3 linked regions of the Cricetulus griseus genome follow. The protein of the gene in region 2 interacts with the protein of the main gene of each other region in a biochemical or structural test. Links are inferred from orthologs where the notes say so. Each region holds a gene or a part of one and is shown on either strand. Other genes may lie near its edges. The genes, in order: Cs, Hspb1 and Mapkapk3.

Region 1 (4,080 bases), on a different chromosome or scaffold from region 2:
CTCTCTGTGTGTGTGTCTGTGTATACACATACATGTTGTGTGTCAAAGAGTAACTTTGTGTCTTCCTCTACTGGCCTTCACCTTATTAATATTTTTAATAGTCTCTCATTCAAATCCATTTCTGCTAGATTGACTGGCAACCTAGACCCCTAGTTCCCTTCTGTCTCCACTCTTCCCCACAAACCAGCCCTATGAGGGTTATAGACACATGTAATGGAACATGGCTTTTGGGTGGAGATTATGTCGTGGAATGTTCTTTTACACTGTGTGAAGGTGTCACTGTGATTTATTTAATAAAAAGCTAAACGGCCCAGTAGCTAGATATAGCAGGGACTTTTGGACAGAGAGCGCTCTGGGAAGAAGGAGGTGTTGCCATCGAAATGGAGAGTTAGCAAGATGGGCAATACAGAGTAAAGGTAACTGAGCCACACAAAGAATGCAGATTAAAAGATATGGGTGAAGTTATAAGAGCTAGTGGGACAAGCCTAAACTATAGGCCGAGCTTTTATAATTAATAATAAGCCTTCGTGTCAGCTTTCTTTCTTTCTTTCTTTCTTTCTTTCTTTCTTTCTTTCTTTCTTTCTTTCTTTCTTTCTTTCTTTTTTGGTGAGTTGGCAGCCCCAAAGAAAAGTTTGAACTCAGGTCCTTAGGCTTGCACAGCAAGCACTTAACCTTGGAGTTCAAGCTTAATGGAACTCACTCTCTATGCAGCCCAGGATGACCTTGAATTCTTAATGATCCTCCTGTGTTTGTTTACAGTAGAGAGCCACCATGCTCTGCTTCAGGGCCTTGATAATATTAAGAGTAAACCTTAGCCGGGCATTGGTGGTGCATGCCTTTAATCCCAGCACTTGGGAGGCAGAGGCAGGCAGACCTCTGTGAGTTCAAGGCCTGGTCTCCAGTGCGAGTGCCAGGACAGCCTCCAAAGCTACACAGAGAAACCCCTGTCTCGAAAAACCAAAAAGAGTAAACCTTACCCCTTTTCTTGGAGACAGGGTATCACGTAGCTTAGGATGGTCTCAAACTCACTATACAGCTACTGTCTCCAAGTGCTGGGGTGGCAGGTATGTTACCATCACACTCAATGAGAGGCAAACAGAGATCCAGGCATGCCAAGCAAGTACTTGACCAATTGAGTCCAAGAGACTTCTAAGGTTTCCAGAATGGCAGCCCAGTCATTCCCCAAAACACTCTAGAGATTTCCTAGGGCTTTCACAGGCAAGACAAACTCAAAAGGTAAATCCAAAGGCCTTTCAAGTTCAGTTGTGTTAGACTATCTGGTCTGGGTTAGCAGCTCCGAAATGTTCTAATTATAGGTTCACTATTCTGCCAATACACTGTTTGGAACTTGCTTCATTTCCCAAGAGGAGTCCTTACCCAGTTCCCTGGCAGCAGGAGCAGCAACAGCCAAGACAGACAAGTGTCTACCAAATAAGCAATATCTACCTTGTTTCTGGGTGCTCAAACGAACCCCAAGATAAACCCTATGGGTTTTGTGGTAAGTCTGACAACTATGCATCACATACAGCCAGTCAAAACCATTCTCAGTCTTTTCCTCCCTCCAAGCATGACCAGCTATCTGCTGAAGAAAAAAAAATCCTCAGTTTTTTACAGCAGCCAAGGTCGTATGTGGCATTGTCCCCACTTGGATTAGAAGGCTGAGATTCCCTCAGCACAACTGGATCCCTGTTTAAAGGGCCGAGCTATGCAGAACCCAAAGTAGTGAGAAAGGCAAAAATAATAATAATAATAATAATAATAATAATAATAATAATAATAATAATAATAATCCAAGTTAAAGGGCCTTAGGGAATAAGAGGAAGTACTCCTCTTAGAGGAGACTTAAGAAAACAGCTAAAACCCGCATAAGTTTAGTAGATTCAGTCATGTGACCCCGGATGGTGTTACTCCTCTTGCCTGTCTTCATTTATTGGCCTGCAGCTTGGTGGAACAACCTTTCTGGTTCTCGCTGGAGTCATAGGCGATATTCTATCAGCAGGTTTAACAGAAATGCCCCACCCTATCCAAGCTCCTCCTATATACAGTTAAGTGAAAGCGTCCCAAGGACAAAGAGGAGCTGGGGGGTGAGGGGGGGTCTACTCCTCTCCCCAAACTGACCCGGCCGGGTCACTCAAGAGGCTACAATTACGAGAAACAGGTCCTGACAGGACTCACCCTACAATGCAGAGCCCAAACCAGCCCGGGCTCCAGCTCTGGCCCAGTGACAAAGTGAGCAGCACATCTGCTCACCGCCCCCGGTGCCCCTGCAAACAATTCTTCCCCTAACTACGGCGACACGGCACGCCACACCTCTCCTCTCCTCCGGCCCTTCTGCCCGGGCCATGCATCCCTCCCTCACTTGCACCACGGAAAGATGCTGTGACAGTCAGGCCGGAGCTCCGGGGGCCCCGGGCCGCCAAGGACCGCACGCAGGCTGGCCGGCCGGCGCCGGCAGCGTTCACCTTAGCGCCGGAAGGAAGGGCAGCGCGGCACATGGCCTAGGAGATGCAGGAAGGGCTGGCTGGCGGCCGGCCAGGCGCCGGGCCCCTTTAAGGCGCGGAGGGCTGCGCGTCGGGGCGGGCGGGCGGGCGGCTCGGTGCCGGAGGGCCTGCGGTCGCCTCGGCCCCACCCCGCGACGACGCCGCTCCCCTGCTTTGGTCGCTCACCTTGGCTCCCAAGAGCCGGGCTGCAGCAGTGAGAAGAGCCATGGCGGGACCAACTCCGGAACCTGGCGGGAAGGGAGCGCGGGGAGCGAGAACCTACAGCTGGAACCGCAGCGGCCGCCGCTGTAACGGAGACCGCGCCAACCGGCGGACAAGGTTGAAAGGAGGCGGAGGAGGGAGGGGAGACAAACCGGCAGAGGCGCCCAGCCCAGGGTCCTCAGCGAGGCCCCGCCCCCTGGCCGAAACCCGAGCCCGCCCCTCTCCTGGGACAAGCCTCGGGCGCGGCCATTGGCCCAGGGCTGAAGAGGGGCGGGACTTGTGCCCTTGACAGATGTTAGGGCGGGGGAGGATTGGACCCTGCGGATTAGGCTAATTTGAAGTGGGCGGAGAGGGGACCGTAGGTGCCTTAGGATGTGCCTGAGAACTCAGTTAACTTCCTTCTTTGGCTCTTGCCTTTGCCCTTAACGCTTTCTGCTTCTCCGGAGAGCAGGAAAGATACAGTTCCAGCACGCGACTCTTGAAGGTCACAGTACCTCAGCACCACTGATCGTGGAGCCCCCCCCACCCCCACCCCCCGCAACCGGCTTGGCGTGCTTCCTTAAAGGATGTCTTTGGTTAATGACTTCACTGCCGTGCAGTTGACATCATGTGGAAAGCAGCATATGATGCCAAAGTTGGCTGTTTGACGAAGATCATCAGAAACCCTGCTAGTATAGATACTGACCCCACTATGTGGAGAAGAGCCAAAACAGGCGCCTGAGTATCTAGTGCTGTCTGTAAACTGTAGGGAATGTTAAGTCTTACAAAGGCCCTCTTAACGTGAAGGCCCCTGAATCTCTCAGTCTTTGGGTCCTGGGCATACACTGTCATTCTTGATATAACCCCATAGAGCCAGCCCACCTCACATTTAGCAAGAGGGTGCAGATATACCCTCCAGGCATTAGACACTCCCTGGTTTTTGTGACGTCGTTCACAGTATTTCCAAAGGACTCCAGGACACTTCTCCTACTTGGCTATCTCTCTCATCCTCTGCTCCACCAGAAACCATGGCGCTAAATGACACAAGAATTTAAGATGATCTTACACATCACTGCGTAGAGCACCTAAGCCTATCATTGCAATTGGCGTAAGGGTGGAGAGAAAATGACCCAAGGATCAGGCCACCTTATCAATCTTCCCACGCGGCAGTAACAAAGTGCAGAGGTCTCAGTATCCATGTAAGCTAATAGTCCTTTTTTGTAGAGGATATAGTTTGTGGCTTAGACTTGGAAAAAGAGAAAGAAAACCCTCACTCCCCCCAAGTTCTCTCAAAAGCGGTTCATATCTGCCCAGCAGTGTTCTGGCCCAGGAATCAGGTAGTTCTTCGGAGAAAATCTTATCTAGAGAAACCACATCCTTGGAGAAGTAATGACCCCAG
Region 2 (3,787 bases):
TGAGCTGCTAAGTGGGTACTGGGAATTGAACCCAGGGCCTGTGGAAGAGCAGCTACTGCTCTTAACCTCTGAGCCATCTCTCCAATTCCCCATTAATTTCCTTTTGAGACATAGTTTTCATGTGTCCCATGCTGACCTCAAACTGGCTATATAGCCAAGGATAACCTTAAACTTCTGATCCTCTGTAATGCTGGACTTACAGGTATGCGTTACCATGCTTTTGGATGTGTGTGTGCAAGCTGGGGCGGGGGTGGGGGGCGGTGTCAAACAGTGCCTCATGCCATACAATCACTCTTGTGAACTACATCCCCAGCTCCTGTTTTTTGTTTTGTTTTGGAGACAACAAGTATGTGGCCCGGGCACTCCTGGAACTCACTCTGTAGTCCAGGCTGGCTTCAAATTCACCATGCTCCTGCATCAGCTTCTGGGTGCTGGAATTACAGGCATGCACCATCATGCCCAGCCCCACCCTGGTAAAATTTTAATCTCCAGATTATCATTTTTTTCCTTCTTCCTAGGGAAATGTTAGGCTGAACCCAAGAAGGGGCTGAGCCCATCGCAAAGACACCAAAGGAGCACTCATCCCTAGCCCGCCAGAAACACCGGGGTCTGAGACGGTGGCAAGCAGTAGCTTCCAACTTTTATTTGAGAAAAACAGAAAGTACATGTATCAAAAGAGCATAAAGACTGATAGAGAGGGGTGGCGAGTGATGGCTGTTGGGGATGCAGCAGGCTGATGGCTTCTACTTGGCTCCAGACTGTTCCGACTTCCCAGCTTCCTGGCCCCCAATTTGGGCGCGGGCCTCGAAAGTGACCGGAATGGTGATCTCCGCGGATTGTGTGGCTGTTTTGGGCAGCGGAGCCTCCACGGTAAGTGTGCCCTCAGGGGACAGGGAAGAGGACACCAGGGTGGGGTCCACACCGGGAGGCAGCCTGGACAAGAAGAAAAACAGGACAAGGGTTACACATCCCTCCAGATCCCGGCCCCTCTGTTCTCCTCCCTGGGTCCGCTTTCCTCCACCCAGCCACGCAAGGAACCAGAACTCACGTGTATTTCCGGGTAAAGCACCGGGAGATGTAGCCATGTTCGTCCTGCCTTTCTTCGTGCTTGCCTGCGGGTGGGACAGAAGGAGGTCAGAGACAAGCCTCTGCTGTGTGGTAGCAGACCCCACCACCTGCTAAGGAGTGGCTGGGACTCCAAGGCAGCACACACACGAGAGTGCGGTGAGATGCCTGACTCCCTGGAGTCATCTTAAAACTTTCCAGAAAGTTCGTTTCTGGGATTTGGGATACTGGGCTTGGCTCTGATCCAGGCTGGACACCAGCGCAGGCGCACTCAGAGCTGTGTGCCGGCCCCCTCCGTGGCTGGGACCGGGGACACTGGCAGGAGTCCTGGCACTTCCTTATTTGGGAATGGGGTCTTCCAGAGGGTGCGTTGCTGTGCGTAGAACCCGGGGCTTCCCGTAGGCCAGGCCAGGCTCTGCCCTGAGCTATACCCCCAGCTGTTGGTCCTTATCAGCGAGGATGACAGGCTCTTAGGCGCAGCCTGCGCCCGGGTTCCGCAGCAAGGGAAGCTGGCCAGGGAGAACGACACTGGCCTCCCGGTCTCGGAGCTCCTTTCTAGCTTTCCAGGCTCCCATCCCTCTTGGCTTCACACCCTCCCCCCGCCCACCCGGTACAGCCACCGGGGCGCTCAGCCCGCTGGCTTCTCCCTGTGGGGACAAGGGGGACTCACCGGTGATCTCCACCACGCCTTCCTTGGTCTTGACCGTGAGCTCCTCCGGAGCGAAGTGGTTGACGTCCAGGGACACGCGCCAGCGATCGGCCGTCTGCCGGATCTCCGAGACTCCGCTGCTCAGCTGCCGGTTGAGCGCACGGTGGAAGGCGGGCGCGGCCAGGGGCGCGGCCAGGGCCACCGCCGCGGGTCCCTCGGCGGTCGCGGCGGGCAGTGGGCGCACGTAGCCGGGCCAACCAGCGGCGCTGAACCACTGCGACCACTCATCCGGCAAGCGGGGCACCCCGAAGGCTTGGTCGAAGAGGCGGCTGTGGGCCGGGTACCAGTCCCGGAATGGTTCCCAGCTGGGGCTCCGCAGCAGCGAGAAGGGCACGCGGCGCTCGGTCATGTTCTTGGCTGTGCGGGTCAGGGCAGATGATCCGAGAAGTGCCGAACTGGAGCCCCGGCCGTGCTTTTATGGGTGTCCAGCCGGGTATTTTTAGCAGGCGGTGCTTCAGGTCTCTATTAATGGCAATGACCGTCTAGGGGCCGGCCCTCCCCGCTGCATTCCTCCCCCTAAGCTTACAAAGGGGACAGGCAGGCGGGGCCAGGAAGGTTCTGCCCCCATCTGGAAACTTCTCTAGTTGAAGAAAACAAATGACTGTAATACCGGTAGCTGGAGCTGTTCCCACTGTCGGGCATTCACTGCCTGGGCTGAAGGGCGGTGGCCTGCGGCCCTGTCCCATCCTTCTTTTGAGACTACGGTTGGAAGTTAGGTCCTTTGTGTCCAACTGGGAAACAACTGAGTCTGGTCTGAACCAGAGGGACGCCTGTGTAGACACACACATGCCATGCACACCTGTGGAGGTCTCAGGGCTACCAGCAACAGTCAGCTCTCTCCTACCATGTGTATCCTGGGGAGCAAAGGCTTGGTGGCAGGTGCCTTCGTCCACTGAACTATCTGGCCCTGATAGATTTTTCTTTCTTTCTTTCTTTCTTTCTTTCTTTCTTTCTTTCTTTCTTTCTTTCTTTCTTTCTTTCTTTCTCCTTCCTTCCTTCCTTCCTTCCTTCCTTCCTTCCTTCCTTCTTTCCTTCTTTCCTTCCTTCACAGGGTCTTTTATTGACTCTGGAGCTTGCAAACTGGCTGGGCATACTGGAGCCCCATACTGCCCTCCTGTCTCTGTAATTGCCCCACCCTTCCAGCTCAGCACAGGAATTAGCCGCACAGGTGGCCACACTCAGCCCCCTCCCCCAAACACAGGGTTTCTTTGTGTAGTCCTGACTGTCCTGGAACTCACTCTGTAGACTAGGCTGGTCTCAAATTCAGAGATCTGCCTGCCTCTGCTGGGATTAAAGGCGTGCCCCGCTATGACTAGCCAGATTCAGCTTTTATATAAGTGCTGTGTGTCCGGTACAAAAGAAACTCGGAACAAAGAGCTATCTGTCGTGCCTATTAGCATCCCAAAGCGGCTTGCTGGCCTCCAGGCTCATGCAACATCACAAGTACCTGTTAGGGAATGCTGGCTCTTCTCATCTCACCCTCTACCCTAAAGTTCTCCAGTTAGTGGGCTTCTCGCCCCAGCTTCCCATTGCCCTATAACCCTCCTATTCCACCTGTGCCTTCTCCTGGTCCTCTCCCTGTTTTCTCTTTCTCTCTTGACCCCCTCTCTCTTAGTCTCCTTTGCCCCCACTCTTTTTGCTTTCCTCTCTCACCTCCCCCACCCCAATTTGCTGGTCATGTTCAGTCTACTACTTTCTCTCTCTGCTCTGGACTCTTCCAGATGCTTCTGGCTGTTCTCTTCCTCATAACTACAATAAAAACAAACCTTCCCTTCAACCATACCTTGGAGCTGTCATGTCCTCAGTTTATACACTGTGGACCCAAACTCAGTCCCCACGCTTGCACAGTCAGCTCTTTATCCATTTTGGCATCTTCCCAGCCTCTTGGTTTTTGTTTTTGAGAGTGGGTCTCATGTAGCCCAGGCTAGCCTGGGATTCTCTCCGTAGCCAAGGATGACCTTAAGTCCTGTTTATTCCTGTGAAGGACTGGAATCCTAAACATCTGCCACACAT
Region 3 (3,644 bases), about 100 Mb from region 2:
GGGAGATCTCTCAGCCCCAAGGGTCCTGGGAACTAGGAAGGAGTCTTAAGCCTGGGTAAGGTGAGGAACAGGTACCCAGGCTGGGAGGTAGGGCAGAGCAGACTGGCGTCTGGCACCTTCTGGGAAGGCAGCATGTGTGTGAAGTAGGGGGAGGAGAGACAGCTCCCAGAAAAAAATAAACTGCCTTCAGACAGCCCCCTAGCAACTTAGGGCCCCCCTGCCAGTCTCAACTTGATAAGAGAGAGGAGGGAAGAAGGCCAGCCCCAAGTTTGGTGAGGCCCTGCTACTGACAAGAGGGTCTCAGTCTGCCAGCTGCACTGTTGTATCTCTCATCTCCTTGAATGCACAGCCTAGATCAGACTTCTGTGTTCTACTATCATCTTGGCTACCCACCCATCGGCCTCGGTCTTTCAATCAGTGCAATGAGGTCAGCAGGCCAGACTTAACATTAAAGAACTGCAGAATACAACCCGGTAAACAGGGAGCCATTTCTGGCATTTCCTACTCCTTAGCTGCCTTCTCTAAAGGGAAAAAGCTTCAGTTATTGCCCTACTCACAGGAAGGGGCAATTGTTACAGGGACCTTTGGCAATCTTAGAGGCTGCCTGGAATTTTCCCAGAAATCATGTGTGGACACCCCCAAGCCCCACCTAATTCTGGGCTCAAGGGACCCTTTCTCACAAGGCAGGTGACTAGTACCCTGTATCCCACTAATGCAGGAGAAAAGGCCTGCCCACTTTCTGAATATGAAGATGAAAACCAGAGAAAAACAACCGCGGTTGGGCTCCATCCCGAGCTGATGGCAGCCTTTTATCACGTATATATTTAGAGCTGCTGTGATGTCATTCAGCTCACAGGCCACAGCCAGAATTTTCCTGGATCTATTTTCAAAAGCAGAAGCTGAAGTTTGGAAGAATATTTTTGCAGCCTCCGGCCCCCCACGTCACCCGCCTCCATGCAGACAAGAGTGCTCCCTCCTCCCTCCTCATCAGGCTTTAACTCTTTGGTTCCCACAACCCATTGGCTGCCCCCACCCATTCTACCGCAGTATACAGCAAGGGGGATACAAGTCACCTGATTAGTACTCACCCACATAATAGGGAGTGTAACAGGGTGTCTGCAGGGCATTTTGGGTGGTTTCCTTGGCAAAGCCAAAATCGGTGAGCTTAAGCACAGCATCTTTCTCCTTGGATGTGTAGAGTAGGTTTTCAGGCTGCATCCAGAAGAGAAAGAAAGCATTGATATAGACAAAGGTACCAGGAGGGGACAGAGCCCCAAAGTAACCTTGAATCCCTGCCTCCATCCCAATACATGATGAGCCAGTACTGTTTTATAAGAAGATCTGGACCTTGGTCACCAACAACGTGGATTGGAGGTGATGCCTTCATTCACAGAGAGAAAGGTGAGGCAGGTGTTCAGCCAAGACCATGAATGACCAGGTGCCATAGACCCCTCTAGGCAGAAACTTCTGCTCCTGAGTTGGTGTGAATACCATGAAATGCCAGAAAAGTCGCTGGAGTAGACTAGAAAGCAGACAGCTCATGAGCCATGATTGCCAAGCACATGTCCCACACACAACCCAGAAGGAAGCCCACAAAGTCAGCAGGCTAGGCCCATTTGAGGTAGCTCAGGGGAGCAGGTGCCCCCACCACCACCACCCCAACGCAGACCTCAGGAGCTACACAGAAGAAATCTCCCTAGCTGCAAAGCACAGATGGGCCTGGCAGATGGGAACAGCCAGCAGGGCTCCATGGAGGAGGCAGCCCTGAAGCTGGCTGTTAGTGAACAGGTAGGATCTTGGCCCTATGCCAAGGAGCAGGAGGGATGATTCCCAAGCAAAACTCAGGAGGGAAGAACAGTGCTCCAGTTTGGATCCAGTGGGAGCTATTTCTTAGGTTCTGTTTGAGAAGATCTGACCTTGGATTGGAACAAACAGAGAAGCGGTTTAGCATATCCTGCTCTGCAGGCTTTTCTTCCCTTAGGAAAAGGGGAACTTGAGGGCTAAAATAAAGCAAAGATTTAGAAGGTGGATCTGCTTTGGCTGTGTGTGTATCCTGAATCAAAGGGTAACTGTATAGGCTGGCAGTCCTCAATCGGAGAGGCACATCAGCTAGCCTTTTGCCTCATAGGTCCAGGCTTAGGAGGAAATAAACCAAGCAAAGGTGAGGAGGAACAGATTCTGTGTTAACAGTGGTTCACACACAAACGCATATAGCTATGTATATGTAAGATTTCCTGGGAGACCTTGGTTTTCCCAGAAAAGAAAATATGAAGCACTGTGCTTCCTATGTTTCAAGCCCATTCACTGGGACGGCAAGCAGGATTCCTTCCTCCGATAGCCAGCAAATGGCTTCTATGCTGTTGTTTAGCAGCCTAATTTGTTTAAACTCTTTTTGTGACTTGACAGAAGACCCGGACACGAAAAGGCAGCCCCTCTCAAAGGTCTGGCACATTGATGGTCATAAAACTTCTTGCTGAGCAAGTGAACAAATGAACCAATGAATCCCCACACAGCAACTTCACAGCTTAAGGTAAGATGGTTAATTTCTCAAAGAACCTCAGTTTGCTTGTCTGTGAAATGGGTAATGGCCCCATGCCGCAGATGGGGATTAAAAGACATGCTTGTCGGGGCCCACTGGCTGGAAGTAGGCAGTTATTCTCGTTACTATTGGGATTACCCAGTGTTTGACGAAAACAAGGAGGTCCATCTGGCAAGAGCAGACTGAGTGAGCTGTGCCATGGGAGGAGAGGAGAGCAGTCTGAGTGGGGAAGCTGAGGCAAGGCACTTAGCCTCAATTCAGTAAGCGCTGGAAGCATCAGGGTGAGTGACTCCTTCACTGTCTCCCAGGCTGAGTTCTGGCAGCTCACCTTGACGTCTCGGTGGGCGATGTTCTGGCTGTGCAAGAACTGGATGGCCGTGCCAATGTCCCTCATGATCTCTGCAGCCTCTACAGGCACAGAGAGGAAGGAGAACACAAGGCCTGTTTAAAAAGTCATGTGACCTGAGGGGCACCCAGCCCACAATCTCTTGAGCATGGTCTGGCAGGCCAGCACTAGATGGCAGTCCTGTAACCTAGGTAGGTCTTTCGTTCTAGCTATCCACCCAAACAAGTCCAATTTACTCCAAGAATGTTCTGAGCCCACCCAGGCCTCTTTCCTCAGGCCTACACTGCCTCATAATAGTTCTGCCATGGGTCAGCACCAAAAGCCTCGGAGTTCTCCACCTCAAGCCATAGATAGTCCATCTATAGTGTTACAGATTCAAAGAACAAACCCCTAGAGGGGGGTGGGACATTCTCTTTAGTTCTTATGTGAATCTTGAGGTTCAGCGAGGGGCAGGCCTTGCCCAGTATCTCATAGCAACTCTAGTGTAGCCTTCCCGCACTAACACTAACTCCTCACTGGTCCCAGGGCCACACAAACCTCTCTCAGTGAAAGCCTGGTCACCACGTTCCTGGATCCTGCTGAACAGCTCACCACCTTCCATGCTGCAGAGAGAGAAGGCAGAAAGGGGGAGAACTGGGTGTCACCAACTCGGTCTGCCCTGGATCAGGGGCCCATGGACCATGGAGAACCTGGCAAATGGTGGGCTGTCAGCTTGGGTGGGTTGATCTGAACTTTGGGAACTAAGAAAAGGTGGAAAGC

What was found.
Region 1: the proteins of Hspb1 (region 2) and Cs form a complex in vitro, tested with the Homo sapiens proteins (2 studies listed by BioGRID). The link is inferred for Cricetulus griseus from reciprocal best matches to the Homo sapiens genes HSPB1 and CS.
Region 3: of the proteins of Hspb1 (region 2) and Mapkapk3, one has a biochemical effect on the other in vitro, tested with the Homo sapiens proteins (2 studies listed by BioGRID and IntAct). The link is inferred for Cricetulus griseus from reciprocal best matches to the Homo sapiens genes HSPB1 and MAPKAPK3.

The regions. Positions count from the first base shown.
Region 1 is NW_023276806.1:129,548,471-129,552,550, forward strand, and holds the start of Cs (citrate synthase, mitochondrial), read right to left. Parts: upstream 2,875-4,080; 5' UTR 2,709-2,874; coding exon 2,667-2,708; intron 1-2,666. UniProt on the Homo sapiens protein: Key enzyme of the Krebs tricarboxylic acid cycle which catalyzes the synthesis of citrate from acetyl coenzyme A and oxaloacetate.
Region 2 is NC_048597.1:114,890,346-114,894,132, reverse strand, and holds Hspb1 (heat shock protein beta-1), read right to left. Parts: upstream 2,276-3,787; 5' UTR 2,124-2,275; coding exon 1,736-2,123; intron 1,113-1,735; coding exon 1,049-1,112; intron 934-1,048; coding exon 744-933; 3' UTR 621-743; downstream 1-620. UniProt on the Homo sapiens protein: Small heat shock protein which functions as a molecular chaperone probably maintaining denatured proteins in a folding-competent state. Plays a role in stress resistance and actin organization.
Region 3 is NC_048597.1:215,440,753-215,444,396, forward strand, and holds part of Mapkapk3 (MAP kinase-activated protein kinase 3), read right to left. Parts: intron 3,488-3,644; coding exon 3,423-3,487; intron 2,948-3,422; coding exon 2,868-2,947; intron 1,213-2,867; coding exon 1,089-1,212; intron 1-1,088. UniProt on the Homo sapiens protein: Stress-activated serine/threonine-protein kinase involved in cytokines production, endocytosis, cell migration, chromatin remodeling and transcriptional regulation.